Linked DNA regions of Tamandua tetradactyla. The protein of the gene in region 3 interacts with the protein of the main gene of each other region in a biochemical or structural test. Links are inferred from orthologs where the notes say so. Each region holds a gene or a part of one and is shown on either strand. Other genes may lie near its edges.

Evidence for each region.
Region 1: of the proteins of CREB1 (region 3) and RPS6KA5, one has a biochemical effect on the other in vitro, tested with the Homo sapiens proteins (3 studies listed by BioGRID, with this or other methods). The link is inferred for Tamandua tetradactyla from reciprocal best matches to the Homo sapiens genes CREB1 and RPS6KA5.
Region 2: of the proteins of CREB1 (region 3) and ATM, one has a biochemical effect on the other in vitro, tested with the Homo sapiens proteins (2 studies listed by BioGRID). The link is inferred for Tamandua tetradactyla from reciprocal best matches to the Homo sapiens genes CREB1 and ATM.

What each region holds. Positions count from the first base shown.
Region 1 is NC_135338.1:51,712,853-51,720,466, forward strand, and holds the start of RPS6KA5 (ribosomal protein S6 kinase alpha-5), read right to left. Parts: upstream 3,263-7,614; 5' UTR 3,010-3,262; coding exon 2,910-3,009; intron 2,680-2,909; exon of another isoform or gene 1-2,679. UniProt on the Homo sapiens protein: Serine/threonine-protein kinase that is required for the mitogen or stress-induced phosphorylation of the transcription factors CREB1 and ATF1 and for the regulation of the transcription factors RELA, STAT3 and ETV1/ER81, and that contributes to gene activation by histone phosphorylation and functions in the regulation of inflammatory genes.
Region 2 is NC_135334.1:33,611,569-33,619,607, forward strand, and holds the start of ATM (serine-protein kinase ATM), read right to left. Parts: upstream 3,110-8,039; 5' UTR 2,830-3,109; exon of another isoform or gene 2,816-2,829; intron 1,921-2,815; 5' UTR 1,891-1,920; coding exon 1,819-1,890; intron 1,742-1,818; coding exon 1,629-1,741; intron 1-1,628. Other genes in the region: protein NPAT, read left to right, coding at 3,481-3,517.
Region 3 is NC_135329.1:182,884,848-182,892,282, reverse strand, and holds the start of CREB1 (cyclic AMP-responsive element-binding protein 1), read right to left. Parts: upstream 3,148-7,435; 5' UTR 3,027-3,147; intron 2,737-3,026; exon of another isoform or gene 2,227-2,736; intron 1-2,226.

The DNA.
Region 1 (7,614 bases), on a different chromosome or scaffold from region 3:
TGTCCCAGAAGAACTAAGTGAAGGTCCACAGACCCTTAGAGAGGAAACTACCGGCATTAGGCATTAGAAGCTGAAAGCAACGGAATGGGGAATAAGGACCAACAGACGCTAGCCATGTGCCTTTCCATGTGACAGACACTGGCCTTTCTTGAGTCAAGGCATCTTTTTCTGGATGCCTTAGTTTTGACATTTTTATGGTCTTAGAGCTGTAAATTTGTAACTTAATAAACTCCCTTTTCAAAAGCCATTACACTTCTGGTATATTGCATTCAAGCAGAATTTAGCAAACGAAAATAGGACTGCAACAAACTGTCAGAACTGGTCCTGGATTTTCAAGCATTCAATTAAATCATTCAACATTATTTGAGTACCTACCATATGTCAGGGACTGAAAATGGACAGAGGATATGGTATAATGCCCTTAAGTACCTTACAGTCTAGCATAGACAAGTAAATGATTATTATAGCACCATGTGTAAATGTTTCTGAAAAGATACGCACCGGCTCTCAGTAGGAGCAGAAGAATTTAAGCTCCTGGAGAAGGCAAGAAACATACAGAAAAAGGCACCATCCAGGCAATGTGGCATAAGCTAAGGACCAACTGAGTGATTTGGATTGATTTGCATGCAAGATATTGTTATGAGGTGATGCTTAGATTTATATTCAACACTTACTGTTTAGCACTTGCCCAACAGTGTTTCATTTAACTGTCACATTTTGTAGATGAGAAGTCAGTCTTAAGAGAGTCTGTACAGCTTGTAAGCAGCAAAACTGGGATTTAGAATTAAATGCTCCACTCCATGTCCATGTTTGTCATGCTATTCTCTCTATACAACTGGAGTAATTTCCATCCCTTACATGTGACTTTTATTGCTTTTTACTCACTCTTCAGCATAAATGGGCAATCACCAACTGGGACTTGGTATGACTATATACTTGTCTACATTTTGAGAAGCAAGAGACCATATTAGATCAAATTACTTCGGTGCCTATTATAGTATCATGTGCTAACAGGAGTGCAGTTGGCTGAAGATGAGCAAATCTTCTTGTTATATTTTACCAGTGTTTTTCATCACTATATCCGGTCAGTTGTTCAGTGTTCAGCAGTAAGTCAAAATGACTGTTCATTTCCTTTGACAGTTAACAGTACTGATTAATTCAGTATAATCTCACCATCCATCAGAAAAATTTCTAAAATGCAAACTTGAAGCAGATGATTCACACAGTAGAGAAGGGGAAATAAAGCAGCACTCATTGTTTTCTACAAATTTAACATTGTTTGCAAACCCAGAAACTAAGCAGTTGGTTGACTACTACTCCTCAGTAGGTTGCTTCTTGGTCATTTAGCAAAACACTGCTTGTTACACCATGGTAAATGGCTAAAGGGAATATGATTTCTAGTAGCTTTTTCTGTACATCACAACTCTACCATCAGAATCAGTGAACTATTTTGTAAGACAAGAAAAAGAAATTCAAAATCTCCACAGCAGAAAGCACCTAATCCAGAGTCTGGTTTAAATCAGATAATAATAAATGGTTATAGAGTAAATGATTTATTAACCCTTTGAAAAGATCAACTGTTTACTAAATCGAGAGAGAAAAACAAACCCATCTAGGTTAAGCTATGAATTCAAAACGATTACGGAGTTACTGGCTCAAGTATATGAGATTCACAAAGATCACAAACAATAATTTTTTTAAGTTGAATTAAGGCATGAATACAATGTATGTCTTAAGTCACCACACTGGCCTCAATGGAATGCTAACCAGCAATCACCTTAAAAATAACAAAAACTAAAAGAAGGAGAAACAGAGCTACCTTTACAATCTGTTCAAAACAGAAACAAAAGATGTACATCTGAAATTTGTTGTATAAACTTTGTCTACATAATAAAATATGCCAATGTTACAAATGAGTTGTTACCGACAGCCTTAACAAATGCCTCAAAAACATTTAATAATAAAGGTGGATAATTCTAATTTAAAGTATATTTTCTGTTCAGAAATGAAAAAGGATCTCTAATAAGAGATTAGGGTACACAAATATAAATCCAAACTGTACTGATTAGTCCAAATAAGCACTTTCCAAAATGAACAATTCATATCCACATGCAACGAATAAAGTAATTGAACAAGTATAAAGCTCAGAGCAACTCCAGCGATATCAAATACTAGGAAGGAAGCCCGTAAGCCAGCTAGCTAGTCGCTGTACACCTAGAGCTTTAAATGTACAGAGCCTTCATCTCAAGAGTCAAAAATTCCAGGCCAGGTGTAGTGTTTCACGACAATTGTAAATAAAAGCATTTAGTCCCTGGAGCCTGCGATCCCTTCCTTATTCCACTGGAGACCGGACTTACAAAAGCCGGAGGAACAGCCGCCCATTTATCTCGTACAGGAAGGACCACAGCACCTTAGGAGATGGTTCCACAAACCCCATAGGAAAACTCACGGGAAGCAGAGGGGTGGAGTGAGTCACGCACCAAAACAAAGTATCGGTCACCCCATATTGAGAAAGGCGCATCTTTCACCCTAGACAGGATGCTGTGACAGATATGTCACCTGTGCGGGAAGGGGGGAGGGAAGACATCCTCAGAGACAAGTGCCAACAGCTGTCGGCTGCTTCGAGGACCCCAGCGCCCCACGCCCGCCGCTCATTCCCGGGCTCCCAAAAACTTTTGGCCCGGCTACGTCAGGCGCGCCCCTATCTCCCCACATTTCCCCACCCCAAACCCTGGCTCCCGCCCAGCCCCCGACAAGGCCCCGCCCCGGGCCCGCCCCTCGACGCCCACCGCTCCCGCCCGCAGCCCGGGGAAGCCCCAGCCCACCGCCCCCCAGCCCCACGCGGGTATCCGCGTATCCCCAGGGCACCCTCGCGCCCGGCCCGGCCGGCAGAGGGCGGGGTGGCTCACCCGTCCGCAGCTCGTGCTTGACCGTGAGGAGCTGCTCCTCCCCGTCGCCGCTGGCTCCCGCCGCGGTGGCGGTGCCGCCGCTACCTCCCTCCTCCTCCATCTTCTCCCTTCTTCCGACCCCACGGGGTCGTTACGAGGGGAACCCGGGAGACAGAGGACGCCTGGCCGCTCGCAGACCCTGCTGCAGCCCCAGGTGCCGAGCTGTAGCGGTTCCAGAACTCGGACTCACAGACGAGTCTCTTTCCCGCTCTGGCCGCACGGCTCGCTCCTCCGCCTCCTCCCCCTTCGGCGGGCACCGCTAGTACCGCGCAACCAAACCGCCCCCTGCTCCACCGCCTCCTCCTTCGAGCCGCTCCGCCCACAACAATCAAGGTAGAGGAGCCTTTCGAACCGCCATCGCTTATTGGGCATAGGGCGCGCGCATCTGTCAACGCCGGCTCCCATTGGGCAATTCTTTCTGACGTTACAGGAGCCGCCCCGCCCCTCTCCTCGAATTGTTGTTGCTTGGCGGGGAGGCAGGAGAGGGAGGAGCGCGACCACTCCGATTGGTGGAGGCCTGTTCTTCCCTTTGGAGCTTTCCTTTAGTGCGCATGCGCTGTCAAGACCTTCCCTTCCCTGACCCCCTGAACGGTCACACCCCTTATTCCCCAGCTTCTATCTGTTAGTAAACAGTGTCTAGTAGTCAGGAGGCTCTCGGGCTCTTTGATTGGCTGCTGCCGAAAGAGGCGGAGAGGGCTGATTGGTACATTTGATCCGCCAATCACCGTGGAGAGAGGCGGGACCTGAAGGGAAGCGCCCCTCACCCACGTGTTTACTGACACACCAGGGTCCCAAACAGCAAACATTCTGAAGTGTGTGACCAGCTGGAAGACAGCGTGGCCTAAAGAGGCGTTACTCTCTCTGGTAAGTCTTAAAATACAAGTCGTTCTTAGAGATTACAACATTCACAAAACCAGGTCCGTTGAAGAATTTTGCAATTTCCTTTTCGTACAAGGCATTTCCTAGATGCTAAAAGAATACAGAAACCCGTTAGAAGCTTTCAATAGAACGGGAAACACAGACGATCTGTGTGTATATGCACGGGAAATTATAATATAAGGCAGAATTTGAAATAGAACAGTGTAAAAAGTGTTAGAGAATCCACAGAGGGCAACGATTATTCCCAGTAGCGGAGGTGGGGAAGGCTTTTAGGAAAAGGAGGCATTTGAGATAACCAACTTAAAGGATGGGCAGGATAGACCTCTCGCCTTCAGATATTTCATACAGAGGTGATAATTGTGAGCACAGGCCAAGAATTAGAGTAGGCGGAGGAGGTGGGTAGCTTGCCAGCGATGCTGTAACAAATACTGCACACTGATTGGGTTAAACAACAGGAATTTATTGTCTCGCAGTGTTGGAGGCTAGACGTCCAGAATCAAAGTTCCAGCAGGACAGACTTTGCTTTCTCCAGGATTCTGCAGCCTTATAGCTTGCTGGTAATTCTTAGGGTTGGTTGCCATGTATCTCTACCCCCCCCCCCCACAAACACCTCACCGCCCCCGCCCCCCCCACCCCCACCCCATCCCGGCCATCACATGGCAATCTCTCTCATTCTCTGTCTTCTACTAACTGACTGTGTCCGGGATTTCCTTTGCTTATAAGGATTCCTGTCATATGGCTTAAGGCCCATACTGATTCAATTTCGCTATATCTGAATAAGATCGTGGAAGATCCTATTCACAAATGAGTCTACACCTTAACTATAACATCTTAAAAGGTCCTATTCACAAGTAGGTTCATATCCACAGGCCCTGGGATTAAGGCTTCCACATGTTCTATATGGGGGACAGGACTCAATCCCCAACAGGTAGATTAAGTGATTGATAAGGCTGGTTGGAAGAAATACAGGTGAAAAGTAAAGTATGATAGGATAATGAAGAATCTTGAATATACTGCTAATACGCAATGAGAAGACTCAAAGAGTAGTTTTTTGGAAGTAAGCTTTTGGTTGCAGTGAGAAGGATGGACAAAAGAGAGGAAGAGAGAAATGGCAGGGCATGAACACTTGTAAGGATAGAACTACTGAGGGCCTAATTTCTGGAAGAGAACATGAGACTGGAGAAAGGATAGGCTGAAAGATCTACACTTGCACGTAGTTCACATAGATGTTATCTTTTAAATGGATGAGATCACGGATCACAAACTTTTTCCAAGGGCCAGATAGTAAATAGTTTAAGCTTTGCAGGTCATATGGTCTCTTTCATACCAATTCAACTCTGCCATTCTAGTTCAAAAGCATTCAGAGACAATAAGTGAACTGTGTTCCAGTAAGACTTTATTTATGGATATTGAAATGTGAAGTTCAATAGTTTTCACATCCGGAGACCCGGATTCGATAACTGGTGCCTGCCCATGCAAAAAAAAAAAAAAAAAATCACATGTCATGATATGTTATTCTTTTAATTGTTTTTGAACCATTTAAAAATGTTAAAACCATTCTTAGCTCGTGGGCTGGCACAGAAACAGGTAGTGAGCCACATTAGATCCACAGCCCATAGGTTGCCATCCCCTGGATTAGATTGTTGGAGAAGAGAAAGCACAACCTAAAGGCTTGTTGGGAGCTCTTTACGTTGCCCCCCATAGCTCCCTAGTCTTGCCTCCCTGGAATGCTTATCACACTAAACCATGGCTACCTACTTAATTGTTTTTCTCCTCTACAAGTTGCAAGCTGTTTGAGCCAGGGACTGACTGTGTGCAGTCGTTCATTTGTTCACTCAAAACTTTTTATGCCAGTTAATATACCAAGTGCTTGATATATGCTAGAGACACAGTGGGAGCAAAGTGGATGCAATCCTTGCTCTCACAGACTCTGCAGCCCAGAAATTGAAGTAAATATTAAATAATCACATAAAGAAATTTTAAATGTCAACTGTGATCATGCTGTAAAGGAAAATTATAGGTTACTACAATAGAGTACTTCAGGGGATCCTAATTTAGGTTGACGGCCTAAGGAAGTAGTATTTAAGCTTTATCTATAAAAGCAGTAGGTTTTAACCAGTATGTGGCAGCTGCTTACCAATCTCCTTTCCTCTTCCTGGACACACAGGAAGACTACTTTTTTTTTTTTTCTTTTTAGCCTCCTTTGCATTTAGGTTACGATCGTATGACTGGGATTTGGCCACTATGGTGTTGGTGGAACTGTTCTCTGCCATTTCCAAAGCTGGCCAGAAAACAGCATGCATGATCACTCACACTCTCTTCTCTTTCTACAGAAACCACAAAGGCCACATTTTTATATGGTGAGGCCACAGTTTGGAAGGAGCCTAAACCCCTGAGTCCTCACTTGAGGAAGAGCCACCTGACCTACATCAGGCAGTGAAGTGAGCAATAAGGAAATCTGTTTAGTTTTAAGCCACTGATATTTGGGGGTTGTTTGCTACCAAAGTTTAATCTAGCCTACCCTGACTTTTGCACAGGTCCTTGTGGAGAATTCAAGGAACAGTCAGGCAAAGAGCCTGTTGTATTTTAGAAATTGAGAGAAAGCCATTGGGGATACAGCACAGTAAGCAAGAGGTGAGGTGGACAAGGTAGGGAGAGGCCTAATCACGAAGTATGTAGTTGGCCTTATTAATATTTTTTGAAGTTTATCCCATGTGAAATGGGAAATGAGAGCAGGAATTTCATTGTCATGGTCTTTTAAAAAGGTCACTGTGGTTAGTGTTTGGACTGTATGGAGCAAGGGACCATCACTCTAGTTTGGGCAAAAGACAATAGTGAGTGTGGTACATCTGGAGAGGAATGGAATATCTCTAGATATATATGTTGGACTTCATGAGGAATTGGATTTGGTAAGTGTTCTAGTATGAAAGCTGTTGGAATGTGATATACCAGAAACAAACAGCTTTTTAAAAGGGGGAATTTATTAAGCTGAAGTTTATAGTTCTAAAGCCATGAAAATGTCCAAATTAAGGCAAGGGTATGAAAATGTCCAACTTAAGGCACCAACAAGAGGTTACCTTCACTCTAGGAGGGCCAACAAAGTTCTGGATTTTTTCTCTCAGCTGGAAAGGTACATGGCAATGTCTGCTAGGTTTTTCTCCCTGCATCTTGTTTCATGAAGCTCCCCTGGGGGCGTCTTCCTTCTTCATCTCCAAAGGTTTCTGGATGCATGGGCTGTCATGGTTCTAAAGCTTTTTCAAAAATGGTTCCCTCTTAAAGGACTCCCGTAAGCAACCCCACCTTGAATGGGTAGAGAGACATCTCCATGGAACCATCTAATCAGAAGTTACCACCCACAATTGGGTGGGTCATATCTTCATGGATAATCAAAAAACTCCCACCCAGCAATATTGAATAAGGATGAAAGGACATGGCTTTTCTGGGGTACACCACATATTCAAACCAGCACAGTAAGTGAGGGGAAAAAAAGTGTCTGAAATGATACACCAAGGATGCTAGCAGGAGCAACTGTGTGGATGAAGGGATGGTGGTACTATTTAATGAGAGGGGCTGATTATAGGACAAAAATATTTCAGGGAGAATATCAAGAGTTTTTGAGATATTCTACGCCAATATTCAGTAGCTATGTGGAACTCAGAAGAGAGATTAAGGCTAGAGATATAAATATAGGAATCACCAGAATGTAGATGATATTTGAGATTAGGGGTATGGATAAGATTACCTGAGAAGAGAATATGAAGAAGGAAGAAAAGACAGGTCCAGAACT
Region 2 (8,039 bases), on a different chromosome or scaffold from region 3:
GTCTCTCCGTGGCTGGCAATAAGTTATGTCTTCCCACTGCCTGAGTTTTTTTCTTTTTTTAATATTTTTAATGAGAAATATCCACACACATACCGTCCAACCATATTTTGAGAACATTTACATCATTCCAAAAAAAGAAATAAAAAGAAAAATCTCATACATCCCATACCCCTTACCCCTTCCTCTCATTGACCCATAGTCTTTCAATCTACTCAATTTTTACCCTTTCTTTTCCCCTATTATTTATTTTTTTTATCCCTCCCCCCCTTTTTTACTCATCTGTCCATATCCTGGATACAAGTAGCGTCAGATACAAGGTTTTCACAATCACACAATCACAGTGAAAAGCTGCACAGTTACACAGTGTTCTTCAAGATGCAAGGCTACTGGAACACAGTTCAACAGTTTCAGATACCTTCCCCTAGCCACTCCGATATACCATAAACTAAAAAGGGACATCTATATAAAGCATAAGAATAACTTCCAGGATAACCTCTCAACTGTCTGAAACCTCTCAGCCCCTGAGACTTTATTATCTTTCATTCTCTCTTCCCCCTTTCGGTCAGAAAGCTTTCTCATTCTCATAATGCTGTGTCCTGGATCATGCCCAGCAGTCAGGTCCGACACTGCCAGGGAGAGTTATACTCCTGGGAGTCATGTCTCACGTAGGGGGGAAGGCACTGAGTTCACCTACCAAGTTGGCTTAGGGAGAGAGGCCACATCTGAGTAATAAAAGAGGCTCTCTGAGGGTGACTCTTATGCATAATTATTAATAGGCTTAGCCTTTCCTTTGTATGAATATGCTTCACAGGGGCCAATCCCAAGATTGAGGGCTCAGCCCACTGAATTGGTTGTCCCCATTGCTTGCAAGAATATTAGGAATTCCCCAGATAGGGAAGTTGAACATTCCTTCTTTCTCCCCAGTCCCACAAAGGAACTTTGCAAATACTTTTCTATTTTCTGTCCAAATTACTCTGGGATATATCCCACATTACACTAACCTGTAGAAAAACAAGATCTCATGCCCTATTCAAGACTCCATGTAATTATGGTGTTCAAGTAAACTGACCAGTACAAGGCAAATTACATAAGTTCTACCTAGAATATAAAGTTTGCACTAAATAAACATCTCTCTCTTTGATCTTGAAGAGGTTGAAGTTGAAAATATGCCATTGCCTGAGTTTTGTTTTTTAAATTGTATCCATATGAAAGTTTTCTAATCTTCCTTTATTTACTTCATTATAATCTAGCACATGGTAGTTACTTATACTCAAAAGCAATATTTAAAGTTGTCAAAGTTATAATTAAGTATTTACTATAGCTTAATTTCATTCTCTAATTTGAAATAAAGTCTTATAAACTGACCAAGATGAAAGGAATTCCCTCTCAATTTATCTCGAGTGAGATAAGCCTAAGACATTTTATGAAACAAATGATTTAAAATTTTTAATTTTTCTATATAAACCTCCTTTAAAAACTGTATTTCAGACAAACATATTAAACATTAACTTCATATGCAAGGTACAGTAGTTTATAGAGAGCAAAGATAAGATCACACATAAACCTAATGTGAAAACAACTGAAAATGAAATTGAGAAAAATAAAGGCAAAAAAATTGAATAGAATACCTAAAAACAGCATCCCAGTTCAGATATTTTCCTTGTTTGGAATCTGAATGACGATCCAAATGTTGAACTGTTTCAGGATCTCGAATCAGACGCTTAAATTTCTCAACTTCTTTCTGAAAATGAAAAATGAACATAATAATGGGTTACCAATCATACAACCCTTTAAAGAAAAATTAAAGTAATTTACTACCTTTCGCTCTGTAGCTCTATCATGTTCTAGTTGACGGCAGCAAATAAGCAGATCATTAAGTGCTAAACTCATGGTTCAGAATTTCAGATCACATATAATTGTCTGTAGAAAATACATAAGCATTCAAAATTAGTTTAGACCATGGAATTAATATATAATTGTTACATCTAATTGTGCAAGAGACAAAATGTGACCAAAGGCAAATACTTTTCTTAATATTCCCACATTTAAAATTAAATTCTCTTAGAATGGGTCAAAACAGTGCTTTAACAGGAATATGAAAAAAATAAGAAAAGGATCATTTACTTTTTTTTTAAAGAGATCTCTTCTAAAGAAACATGACGTTTAAGTTGAGACATGAAAGATGAACAGAGATAGTTAAAGCACGAGAAGAGCACTCACGTCTCTTCGACAGGTTCAACTATTAAACAATACCCTTGTTCATTTGTTGTGTTCCAGGAACTATGTTAAAAATGGTACATGAATCCTCAAAACTCTTTGACATAGGAGATTAGTTTCTTTTATTATCGCCGAGGAAATGTTTGGAGAGATGATTCAATCTGCCCAAGATTATACGTTTTATAAGTGGCAGAGAGCCACGACGTGAACCAATTATATCTGACTACAGAGCCATCTGTCAATGGCAGATTTATTTCCAGAAAGATGAGGCGTAGGCAACATTGTCAAATTCCACGAAAGGATCAAATAAACCTAGCTAAGGACTAAAAAGGAACAGCTGATTTGCCAATTCAGGAGGTGGGTTCAAAGCAAGACATTCATAAGAGGGTTCAAGGCTAAATCCGCTAGGGGCGTGGAGACAAGAGAAGGTAATGGGGTGGGTGGTGGAAGTAGAGGTGGGGGGAGGTGTGGAAAGATGAGGTGAAGCAGGTGGCGTAAAGGGACACTCTGGAAGAAAACGTAAAAATGGGAGTCTGGGAGAGAGGACAGAATGGCTCAGATACGAATGAATTCTCCACCGTAGAAAGCAGAAACTTGCCTCCGCGCCCCTACCGCTGAACTGCGACGGTAACGGCACTGGTGGCCAAAGTGGTATCTCTTGACGTGGCGTTGGCTGCAGCTCAAATTCCCGATTTTCTCGCCTCCTCCAGCAGCTGCAGCTGTAGCTTCTCGAACCCGTTATCCATGCGCCTATTCCCGCTTTCGGTTAAAACGCGGCGTGACCGCGCAGCGCGGGTCTTGGGAGGAAGGGGCTCTGCTAAATCCACGCCGACGTACGCTCTGCCCATGCGCGCCAAATATCACGTGCGCTTTCCTTAGCTCAAAATACTCGTCCCAAAACACTTGGCCTCTCTCAGGAAACGCGCCTGCGCCTTTTCCACCAATGGAGAGCGAGCTTTCAATTGACGTTCGATCTCGGGCTCAGTCTCTTACACCCCGCCTCTTTGCCCTTTTCAGCCTCTCCCTTGCTAATATAAGGGCGGAAATGACGACAGTTTCAAGGAGAACGGGGGCGGGTCTCATTTCGGCGCCTTTCTTTCTCTCGCGGAACCGATTGGCTAGCGTGGAGCGAAAGAGGCGGGACAAGTTGCCGCGGGTTCAGTGCCGCGGCTGGAACCGGGAGATGCGGCGCTGGAGCTGTGGTTTGTGTTTGCCTTTACCTGCGTCTCTTCTCTTATTGTGATTCCTTCTGAGACTTCAATCATGTTGTTACCTTCGGATGTAGCCCGGCTGGTACTGGGTAAGCGCGGATGCGAGAGAGAGGGTTACTGGGCCAGGAAAAGCAGGACGGAAGGACCTTTGGGGGCCAAAGGTTTTCCCTGGGCGGGGGAGCTTAGAGGTTTTGCCTCCCCGCCCACAAGTTCAAACCTGGGGTGATTCTGCTTCAGCCGGAGGCTTTGGGCAGTTTAAGACTCTTTGTGCGGGTGCTCTTCAGAGGCTTGCGTAGGAGAGGAGGGCTGACGAGAAGCAGGGGGTGGTACACCTGGGGCCCAGATTCTGAGGGAAAAGTCAGGCCTGGGCACTTAAGTAGAGATACCTGAAAGAGAGTTGCCTACGTGACGAACAGACTGCGCTTTCTTCAACCTTCGAGTTACTTTCGCTGGTCATAGTTGGGTCCGAGCAGTCAAAAGAAGAACTTCCACCGCAGCCGCTTGGCTTTGTAGAGAGATCTTCCTGATGTCCTTCGCATATCTCGCCTTTACACAACTACGAATTTGGGACGAGTGAGGGTGATTCTCTTCTTTTCCCCGCTCTCCGTAATAATTCGGCCGAATAAGTCGATTCCTATTCCTTTGATTAACCAAAAACTTAAGAGAGGAAATGCCTTTTAATTGAATATTTTCTAGCCCTCGGTAGTTTTTCCTCCGTTTGAGGAGAGTTTGTCCCATGGACTAGTTGTCTGTCAGTGTGTATTGTCTTTGTGGGCCACCGGGTTTTGTTGTCCGTCCCCTGAAGGAAGAAAGAGGATTGTACTGCTGAGAACGTGAGACATGTAAAGCTCAAAACCTGAGCCAGTTAAACACAGACAAATGTGACACCCCTAAATGTAAGCAGCAGTGATGAAACCTCTCACAGTGTCCATAGCCTTTACTGCCATTATTTTATCATTAGAAAAACCCATTTGTCTTGTTCCTTTTTTTTTTTTTTTTTACATATCCAGCCCTGTCGAAAAACAACGGTATTTGTACGGCGGCCTTGATGAGCACGTTTGGCATGAAACATTAGAGAGAAATGGTTCCACCCCCCCGTTTGGAGAAACCAATTTAATGACTTAAGTTTAAACGAATATTTGGTTGATCTTTAGCTCGTTTTATCAGGATTGAATAAGGACGTAGTTAACCTGCATCAGTATCTGTCGTAAAAACCTGAGATCTTGTAATTGTTACATTTAATATATGTAAGCCAATCAATAGTATACTTTCACGGTGTACCTTGACATGCTTTATTTTTCCTCATTATTTACATAAGCATTTTGAGTTTTGGCAGTTTTGTAATCCAGTTTAGTTTCAGGAACCATAGTCTTAAACAAGGTTTCTCATCCTCCACAGTATTGACATTTTGGGCCAGATTTTCTTTGTTATGGGGAGGTGTCCTGTGCATTGTGGGATGTTTAGCAATATTCCTAGCTTCGACCTGCTAGATGCCAGTAGGATTCCCCCAGTTGTGACAAGGAAAAATGTCTTAAGACATTGAAAATAAGTTCTGGGGGGAAGGGTGGGGGTGGCAAAATCATCTCTATTTGAGAACTGCTAAACTTATAAAAGCAATTTCAATATCCATTTGGAATACCCCACATCAATTTGTGAATATTTCTTCTGCACAAACTGGCTGCTCTGACTTTTTACCTTTTTTAATGGATAAAAACTCCAGTCATTGTTGTCTTATCCTAAAATTCTTTCTAATCCACATTTTGTGTATTACTTCTTACTTGGGCTTTTTGTCATAGCTTCCCATCCATATAGATTCCTTCTTGCTATTCATCTTATTTACTGTTGTTACAACAATCTTTCTAAAGCATTTGCACTACATCTTCTATTTTAAAAGTTGAAACAATTTTGCACGTACTAAAACTTCAAATTGTGCAAAAGGATATATAGAACAACAACAAAATGGCAAGGTGCCCCACACTCACTGCGCTTGCTTTTTCATTTGGCATAATATTTTGAAGCTCCTTCCAAATCACTACATAAAGGTCTACCATTCTGAAACTTAGTGGCTTAAAATATTAATGTTGTTATTTGCTCATGGTTCTTACTCCCATCCATATCCACCTCCCCTTCAGCTCTTCTCTTACTTATAGGTCCCTTTTCTTCATAAAATTCCTTCAGCCAATTTTTGGGTGCCTAGTATGTTGCAAATGCTGTGCTAATTGCTAAGAATGAAGAGAAAAATAAGATCACCCCTTAGAGTCCACAAAATTAGGTTTTTTACCCTTAAAAACACTTTACTAGATACCACCTCACATTCTATCTAATGCCCTATAGCACCCTTTTACAGTTGAAGCTTATTCAAAGAACAGTGAATTCTACTTACTTGCTCTACTTCCTTATCTACCCTTCTTTCTTCAGAACACTGCACTCTGACTTGTGTGTTTCTTACTCACTACTTTACCTGAACAGCCCTGGTTACTACTCAGCTACAGATAACTATTGCCTTACTGAGATTTCTTTAAATAGTCTAGGCCAAAAATACATCAAAACATAGCTTATTGCTTCTGGCTCGCTAGTTTGGTTTATCAGTATTCATACAAAATGCTTTGTGTAATTTATCCCAATCATGCGTGATCTTAGCTTCTCAACCTCAGCAGTATGCTCACAGCATACCAAGCTATTTGCAATTTCTCCACATGTTCTTATGTATTCTATCCACTTAACCTACAGTGCTTTTCTCCTTCTCTACCTCATACACTTTTACTCTAGTTCAAATCAAACCTGATCTCTGAAACCTCTTCCAAGGTTAGTTAGTATTCTTAAATGCTCTCATAGCATTGTCTGTTACTTATTTTATTGTAGCTATGTGTTTACCTCTTTGTCTTTTTCAGTATTCTTATCTGGAATTAATGGATAGGTTTCAAGAGTTCTGGGCATAACTATTAAAGTTTATGGGCAAGTGGGGGCATTTTTATTTATGAAAAGTCCAGAACTTTCTTATATTCTGAAATAGGTTAATTAGCTTTCTGCATGAGTCATCATCCAGGAAAACATAAACCAGTCAATATGAATCTGTAATGTGGAGGGAATTTAATGAGGAAATTGGTTATATTGGTGATAGAAGAGCTGAGAGGTCAAACATAAGGTGACTCATGTTAGAAAGAGTAAGAAATCAATCTGAAGCAGGAGAACAAAGATAAATGAAGCAACCCAGAGGCTAGATTGACTGTGTGGAACATGAAAAGTGGACCTCTCTAATAAAGGAGCTGATTTCTTCTTTCTGACTTCCAGTCTCCCACCAGTGCTTCCCATTGGCCTACCGCTGCCAGAAGCCAGCAGCTATGGGTGCCTGGAAAACATTGCATGCATGGTATCAGCAGGATTGGCATACTCCCAGACGGTTCAGAGCCAGCTATCTTACCCATTTTAATATCACTGACACATTATATTTAATAATTAGAAAAGCGCACCTGTAATCATGACATTCCTCTTTGTCTGCTGAATAATATCTATGCTCATTGCCCTGACCTTTACAGCTTTCATGATGTGGACCTATTCTGTCTTTTCAGTTGTATATTTACCTGTTCTCCTTCATATTACTTTGTGCTGCATCCAAACTGAAAATGTTCCCCACACTCTGCATTTATGCTTTCCATCAACTCCTCTGGGACTCCCAACAATCCTCTTAAAATATAGTCTAGTTTTCCCCAAACCTGGTAGTAATTCCTCTGGCCCCTGTACTTATTTGAAGCAAGTTAGACCTGTATCTCTTATCACATTTGCTCTGTATTAGTTATTTCTATGTGTTTCTTCTGACCTCTGTGAACAGGGGCCTTCAACTATGTTTCCCCTTCAGTCTGAGTACTCATTACTACATCCATTAGAAAGCAGTCTGAAGATAGTATATTAAGATAAAGGAAATAGGCCGATTTTCTTAATTATTTGTATACCTTTGTTGGTAAGTTCACACAAAAGATATGTTCATTCAGTTTGAAGTTGTTCTTAGGAATAAAAAAGGAGAAAATCTTAAAATTCACATAACTAATATTAACTGAAGGGTATTCATCTGTATTAATAGTGATAAAAGTTAATTGGTGCCTTATTGGTACTTTATTGCAATATTTGAGATTTAGCATAATCTGTGCCTAAAATTTTCCCTTTTATCCTGAATGAGAGTTGGTTAAGATCAAGAAGTTGATGATAAATAAGTATTTTGTAGGCAAAAAACTGATTAACCATATATATGTGCAAGCATGAACGTAATCAGTTATTTTACCGCATTATTTTGAACAAAATAGGACAAAAGTAAATTAAAATACATGAAGTTAATCTGAAATATGAATTTAATACTACCTAACCTCCAACATCACTTTTGATCTTTCATCCTTCTTGTTAGGGGTGTTTGGGCTATGGCCATTCTAAATTTTTCAGATTGGAAGGGTTTGTTACTAATATGGGGTAAGGAGATGAAATTATGTTATGTTATGGATAGGCTGGGCCCTCTAGATTTCAGGACTTATCTGGACGAGAGACCCATCTGGAGGTTGTAGATTTCTGGAAAATTACTCTAGTGATTTGAACCCTTTTGGAATCTTGTATATTGCCGTAAGT
Region 3 (7,435 bases):
TCCATCAAAAAAAGAAAGAAGATTCAAACAGACCCAATTATAATTTTTACTGATTCCTGAGAGGGGACACACATATAATTTAGTTCCATAAACCAAGTGAATATTCAGATATTAATGAACATAAAAGCTTCAAAAGTTTCCCCCTAGAATTGCACAAAATCACAAATTATGAACCTGTAAATAAAAACAAAATTTAAAAGATCTTTTGGACAAGACCAGGAAGAAAATAACACATCAGAAAACAACTTTTTTTTAATTTCACAAAGTGTACTGTCAACACAGTGTATTCTTTATAGAAAAAATTCTAGATGTTTGCTTGCAGAAAACCTTTCTCAAGGAAAAATTCTTCTTCAATAGTAATTTACCATAAGCAAATATAATAATTTTCTCAACTTTAGAAATAAAATCATTATCCCAATTCTAACAGAACAACTCCCTTTACTGCATCTTCTTAATTAGGTTTCTCAGCAATGACAAACTGCTAATGTTGTCTTTCAAAGACTAGCAATACAGCAAAATAGTTTTCGTAAAAGAAACTTGGATTCAGAAAAATCAAGAGTCGGTGCTTCTACTCCCAATCAATATTTACCATTAACAAGAGGTCCTGTATGTATCAATCACATTTTCTATCTACTGTGACAGATAAGTTTTTTTAAACATATAACTGTTTTATCTTTCGCACCACCGAAAATAATTGTTCTTGGGAAATGAGCAGTCAATGTAAAGATTTCAACAGTCAGCAGCCTAAAGTATCTTCTTCGAAACCTTTATAAGGTCGACCTTATTGATAGCTGAGGCTAGAATGAGATTCTAACTTCTTGGAAAGGTACGACAAACTTAAATAGGTCACACTCCAGGTTTTCATAAATTGTCTTTAAGATGTCAATGACTTTTATGCAGTCCCTTTCTTTCCAACAGGTGAAGAAAAAGTCTTATGGCTTAAATTGTTGTTAATCCCAGACTGGTATAAACCACAGCATGCGATACAAGTAGCGAAATTTTTTAATGCCTATTTTTAGAAACAGTATCAATCTCTTATTTAAGTTTAGACAGAAATGTGTGGGAAACATGGCGAAGGGTGGGGCGGGATGGGGGGGTAGGAGGAAATCCAAACGACCCAAAAGCCGTCGGCAAGGTTGCCCCCCAACCTCGAAAAAAGCGATGTAAAACGTAAGTGCGATCACCTTATGTCCGCTTTAACGAAGTGTTTCAGAATAATGAACCTCAAGTGATTATTACCTTATTGAAAAGGGTTAAAACCGAAACTGTTTCAAACCCCAGCTTCCCTTTTACAAGATCCCAACAGCTTTTTTTTATTACAAAAATGGTTTTCTTAGTACCCTTTCCTCCCAGAAAGAATGCATTTCCACGACTACTAACTTAAAAAGAAAAAGGGAGGGGGTTGAGAAAAAGCGTAAATAATTATTTAAAAAAGAATGAACTCTTATCACCTCAACTAAGCAGAAAACAGCATTTGCCCAATGGGGTAGGAGCAGGACGGGGTGAAGAGAGCATAAATAAAATACATACAAAAGGAAACCTTCGGTTTCGAACTTTATTGCACAAAGAGAGTGAAGAGTAGGTCAGACGTTGCAGCTCTTCCCCTCGCGAAGCGGGCATGGCAGACACGGAGGCTACCGGGAAGGCAGCACCACCTTCACCTCCCCTGCCCTCAACTGTCGCCTTCTTCCTTCTCCACCCACCACGGGCACCCCGGTGGCGGCTGCCACGGCAGACTGCCGGGCCGGGGGCGAGGTGAGGGCCGGAGCCCAGGCGAGCGGCGCGGGGGGCCGCGCTGGGTCTGGCGGGCGGCCTCCCCCGGGGCAGCTCCCGGCTCCCGGCTCCGCGCCCGCCCAGCCCGGTCAGGCGGCAGCGGCGGCGGCGGCGGGAACGCGGGCGCCAGCTCGCCGCGGCTGGCCGCCCGCATACACCCCCGGCCGCCGGCTCCCACCCCGCCCGCAGCCCGCCGCCCCCCGCCATGAGCGCCGCCGCTGGCTGCAGGCAGAGTCGCTGCCGCCCCGGCCGCCGCTGGCTCCAGTCCGCCGCCATTATTCTTTGTTCGCTGCGAGCGGCGGCGATGTTGTGGGGCTCGGGCCGAGGCTCCATCTTTACCGCGGCCCCTCCTGCGAGGGGAAGGCCCTGAGCGCGGGTGTCCGGCGCCTCCCTGTCCCCCCTCCGTCCCCCTGGCTCTCTGCGGCTCCTGCCTCCTCCTCCTGCTCCTCTTACCGGTGGTACAAGCTCCTCCGTCACTGCTTTCGTTCGCGGCCCGGATCTCGCTGGAGTTTTATTCTCTCCCCCACGTAACACACCGCGTCAAACTACACCTCCGCCGCGTCACTCACCAACACTCCGCTTCTCCCAGCCGCCCGGGCCACAGGCAGCAGCAGCCGCCGCCGACTGAGGAGCCGCAGCCAGGGAGCCAGCCAGCGCCGCCCAGTGCCGAGTGCGCAGCGGCCGCGCACGGAAACAACCGAGCCCATCCCGAAGGAGACCGAGCGGCCCCGCCCTCTGCGCTGGAGGCGGAACTTGCCGAAGGTCTTCGCGCGAGGCGAAGGCGTTCCGCCAAGAGAGACAGGCGTTAGGTGTCGGTCTAAACCCCACAGCTGCCTGTCTGTGTGTAAAACTCGGCCTCGGAAATTTGACGGAGGAAGTGGGGTTTGTGTGAGGCCCCATGAGGAATTCCCGTGGGGTGCGAAGACTTGACGGAACCTGGCGCACCGTCCTGTCTCTCCGGCGGTAAGCGGCGGTTCAGCCTCTGTTCCCCGGCGCCGGCAGCCCCGGGGAGTGTCAAACCCTGCCGGGACGTGGGAGACGGGCCACTTGGCCTGGGACGCGACTCGAGTGCTCGGGACAAGCTTGCTCAGGGAGGAAGGGGTCGCTGCCCCCCTGTAAACGCCCCCGGGTCACGGGCCCGGGCCGGGCGCTGGGACGCAAGGACGCTGCACTATTCGGAAGGGACCTGGGGGATTTTAGGGTCTCCGTAGGGAGGGGCCAGACTGTCCTACAACGAAAATCAGCGGAAAAACCTGGCGGCTGCGGGTGGAGCTGTTCTTATCCTCCGTCCCCATTCAACTGCAACTCCGGGACTGGTGGTGCCTTGCGGAGATCAACCCAGCAGCACCGGCAGAGGGCCGCAGGTGACCTCACCTGCCCTCGGAGGCCTTCTCTGAGCGTGATCTGTCCGTCTTGACCCAGGCTGCTCTTCGACACTCAAAATAGCTCCCAACCCGCGCGCCTTCAGACAACATCCTGTGTCACTCCCTTTTCACGGCCTGCTTTCTACCTCAGGGGTTTGCACCCACCGCACGCTTTTCTTTACCACTCACCCTCCCCAGACCCGGACAGTGTGACTTCCGTTGCGTCCACGCTACCGAAAGCGTTTTCTCAGAGGTCGTCCAAGGCCACACTACTGACTATTCTCCTTTTTATTGAACTCTGCAGTTCTTCCCGGGCTTTCATGTCTATTAATTCTCTTTCTGTCCCACAAAGCAAATATATGTTTTAGAAGCACACAAAGAGAGTTCAAATCCGGGGTCTGCCACTTATTGGCTTCCTGTTAGAGAGTAAGAGTTGCCCTTCCTGGAGCTTGTACCCTTGATGCCAACCTTCTCAGGGGCTTTAGGCTAAAGAGTTATCTCCTTTTCCTTCTTGTATTTTCAGTGGTTCTTTCTCTATGGCCTCTTTCCCATCAGCATTTAAACATGCTTAAGTCTCATCTCATTTAAAAAAAAAGATTCTCTTCTCCATACAATCCTGTCCAACCAGAACCCCAATTGTTCTCTACTTTATGGACATTCTCTTACATTCCACTCAGCTCTCCAGTCTTGCGTCTGTTCTTACCCTTTAATCTGAAACAGCTCTGAATTGTGACAGACAAGCTTCTTTCTCTAAATCTAGTCGTTTAAATCTAGTCATCCTTGCATTTGACACTATGATCACATCCTCTTCCAAATAGGCTATTCCCTCAGCTCTCATGTCAAAAATTTCCTCTTAACCCTCTGACTGCTCTTTAATAACCAGTTCCTTCTCCTTTATTCAGCACTTAAATATTGGAATTCTGCTGAGCTGAGCTCTCCTCTTCTTGAGTCTTACCATAGATGTTTTCCCACATGATCTCATCTCCCATTGGCTTCTGATGCCCTCTATCAAAGACTTTGCAATCCATACTTCAAGCCTCGATTTTGCTCTTGGAATTCTAGGTTAGTGTTTTCAACTGCCTATTCTACATTTTCATTTGGATGGCTGGGGCACATCAGACTTACTCTGTATATATATGTATATATGTATATATATATCAAATCTTTCCTTCAACACTCTCCTCCCATAGTCCTAGATTCAGTAAAGGGCATGCTATCCATCTACCTAGTTCAAGCCAAACTCCTGGGATACTTGTGATACACCTCAGAATCATTTAGACCTGTCTAAGTGAAATATTAATGAATATTTCTTGGATTTGTCACCTCACTGTTCCCATGGCCACCTTTTCACTCACTCTCTAGTTTAGGCTACCTTTACCTCTTGCTTGAAGTCCTGTATTAACCACCATCCAGGTACTCCAAAAGTGTACTTGCTTCATTCCAAACCATTTGCCACACTGTAGCCAGAATAATCATTTTAAAAATACAAATCTAGTCAAGTCACCTTGACTAAAGTCATTTGATTTACCCTGCTAAAATCACTTAAGTTGTTTCTCACTGCTTACCAAACACAGTCTGCACTTTTCGTGGAGACCAGGCCCCCATTCCTGAGCTTATCTTTCTCCCTTACATCCCCAGTTGTCCTCCTAGATCTTTGAACTCCAGCCATATTATTATTTTTCATTTTTTCCAGTCTCTCTTCTCTTACTTTTCCCTACCGTAGGGTCTCATCTCAAGGCGTTTACATATGCCATTCCCTTTGTCTGGAATTATTTTCTATCATCAACTTCTACCTAATTGTAACTTACCACTTTTCTTTTCTGATTCATTATACTTGTAATTGCTTGTTTAGTGTCTTTCTACCCAGCTAATCTATAAGGTCAATGCAGGTTGGGACCATGTCTGTCTTGTTCACTGGCAACTTTTCCCCTCCTCTCTCCTACTATCCCTAAAACCAGTACAATGTCTAAACCATAGAGGTGCTTATTAAATGTTTATTGAATAAATAAATAAATATCTGTGTGATCTCAGGCAGTTTCTTAATATTTTGGGGTTCAAATCTTGGCTCAGTCACTTACTACCTGTGTGACTTAGGACAAATTATTTACTCATGTGCCTCAGTTTTTCCATCTGTAAAATAAGAATGATAATGTCATCTACCTTATAGTGTTATTGTGATGATTAAATAAGATTATTTATGTGAGGTGTACTTGGGACAGTGAGTGGCATGTAACAAATACTAATAAAAATATTAGCTATTACTGTTATTATGAACATCTCACCATTATGTCAAATACATTTTCAAAATTGAGCTCTTTATCTCCCTACCTTAACCATTATCTTTCTTCTTACTGTCCCTATATAAATGGTAACAAATTCTTTCTGTCCCTATAAATGGTAACAAATTCTTGGAATTATCTATTCATGCTTGTATGTATCACCCACCAAATCTGGTAATGTTTTGTTTTAAAATTTCCTCACGTTCATCTTTCTATTCCATTCATACTGATCTTGGTTTAGACCCAGTCCCCTCAAATATCAGTTACTTGCCAGTTTCCTAGGTGCCTCTGACAGCACACCCTTTCCCCCTCTTGATTCATGCCCTAGTGTCCATCCAGTGGGGCTCAAACAGTTATTAAATCATACTCTCCTCAATTTCTCCCTTAGTGTCTTCTATTCCTACCTAGCTTTGTCCATTCACTCATTCATTTGGTCATTCAAGTGCAAATTGTTTCACTAAACATTTTGGGTATGTTCTAGATTTGAAATTTGGTCTCCCAATTTCATGTTTTCTGCTCTAGCATCTTCATAAACCAAAGACATAAAACTAGAAATGGAAAACTTTCAACATTCAATTTTTGTCTCTGGAATTCCATGTTTGACTCAGTTTCTTAACTGGGAAATCTGGTTAATTTTGAGAAGATGAAAGGAGTATACATGGACATAACCTGACATAGAATAAGATAAGTGTCGTGGAAGAGGTCCGGGAAAGAGGGAAGGTTCCATCAGTAGATAATAAATGATAAAGTGATATTTGAGTGCTTTTCTCTAACCACAACTTCCTTTTCCTGTTCTTTTCTCTTGCTTCCGTTGGTGAACCTATTTTTTACCCTTACCATGATCTCAAGTTCCATGACCCTGCCTGTTCCCTAGTTCATCATCTCTCATGACTTGATTTTCCAAGGCCATGGTGACCTGTTTCATTTATTCCAAAAATATTTAGGGAATAAGCACTAGTAAACAAAACATTAAATATGCTAAAATTTTCAACCTGTCATCATCTTCATGTTTCACATTATCTGTGTTCACTCCTTTGTACTCTCATCCAGTTCCATAATTGTAAATACCACATATATGTTGGCAGCTCTCAAAATTATATCTTCTCCACCAAATCACTCTCCCAAACTCCAGACTCATGTTAACAACTACCTATTCATATCTGGAAGTTCTTTTAGCCTGAATTCATCCAGAAGGCGAACCTGAGGCAAAAGCTTCTATGCTATTTTATTAGGGCACAAAATTCCAAGGAAATGAGGATAGGGAAAAAAAGTGAGTTAGAGGAGGTGGTCAGAATTCAGCCAATTTGGTTGCTGACATCCCTGCCCCACTTCCATTTTATATGCATACCAAAGAAACCCTCCTATGAGATATGTGACCCAAGCAGAAGGCAAAGTGCTATGAGACTGTCACTGCCTGGGGTTGGTTGGTAGGATAGGGTACTGTTTGATTGCCTGGGGTTGGCCTTACAAGTGAAGCTGAAAGAAACAGGTGCCTTTGATTTAACAGGTCCAAAACTGAACAGATGCTCTTCATATATTCTGTACCTATAGCCTTTCCCATCTTAGTTGCTGAGGTTAAAAATCTGGGCATGATTCTTGATGTCTTTCTCTCACATCCCACATCTATCAGTAAGTTCTGTTGGCTGTACCTACAAAATATATCCCAAAACACTACTTCTCACCATCTCCACTGCTATGTCTGTGAGCCTGGTCTACCTTTTCTTGCCTGGATTACTGCGATACTTCCTGAAAGGTCTCCCTACTTCTTCCCTGGCCCACTACAACCAATTTTCAGCACAGTATTCATAGTCGTCAGTTTAAAATGTAAGTCAAATTATATTACTCCTCTGCTCAAAAATCCCGTAGTGGCTCCGTTTTCTTAAAGAGTAAGAGCTCACATCCTTATAATGGCCTCTGAGGTCCTACAGAATCTGTCCCTTTTAGTGCCTCTCTTATCTTCACTCCTGCTACTTTTCTGAACTTGTTTGCTTCATTGTATCCATACTGGTCCCCTTGCTG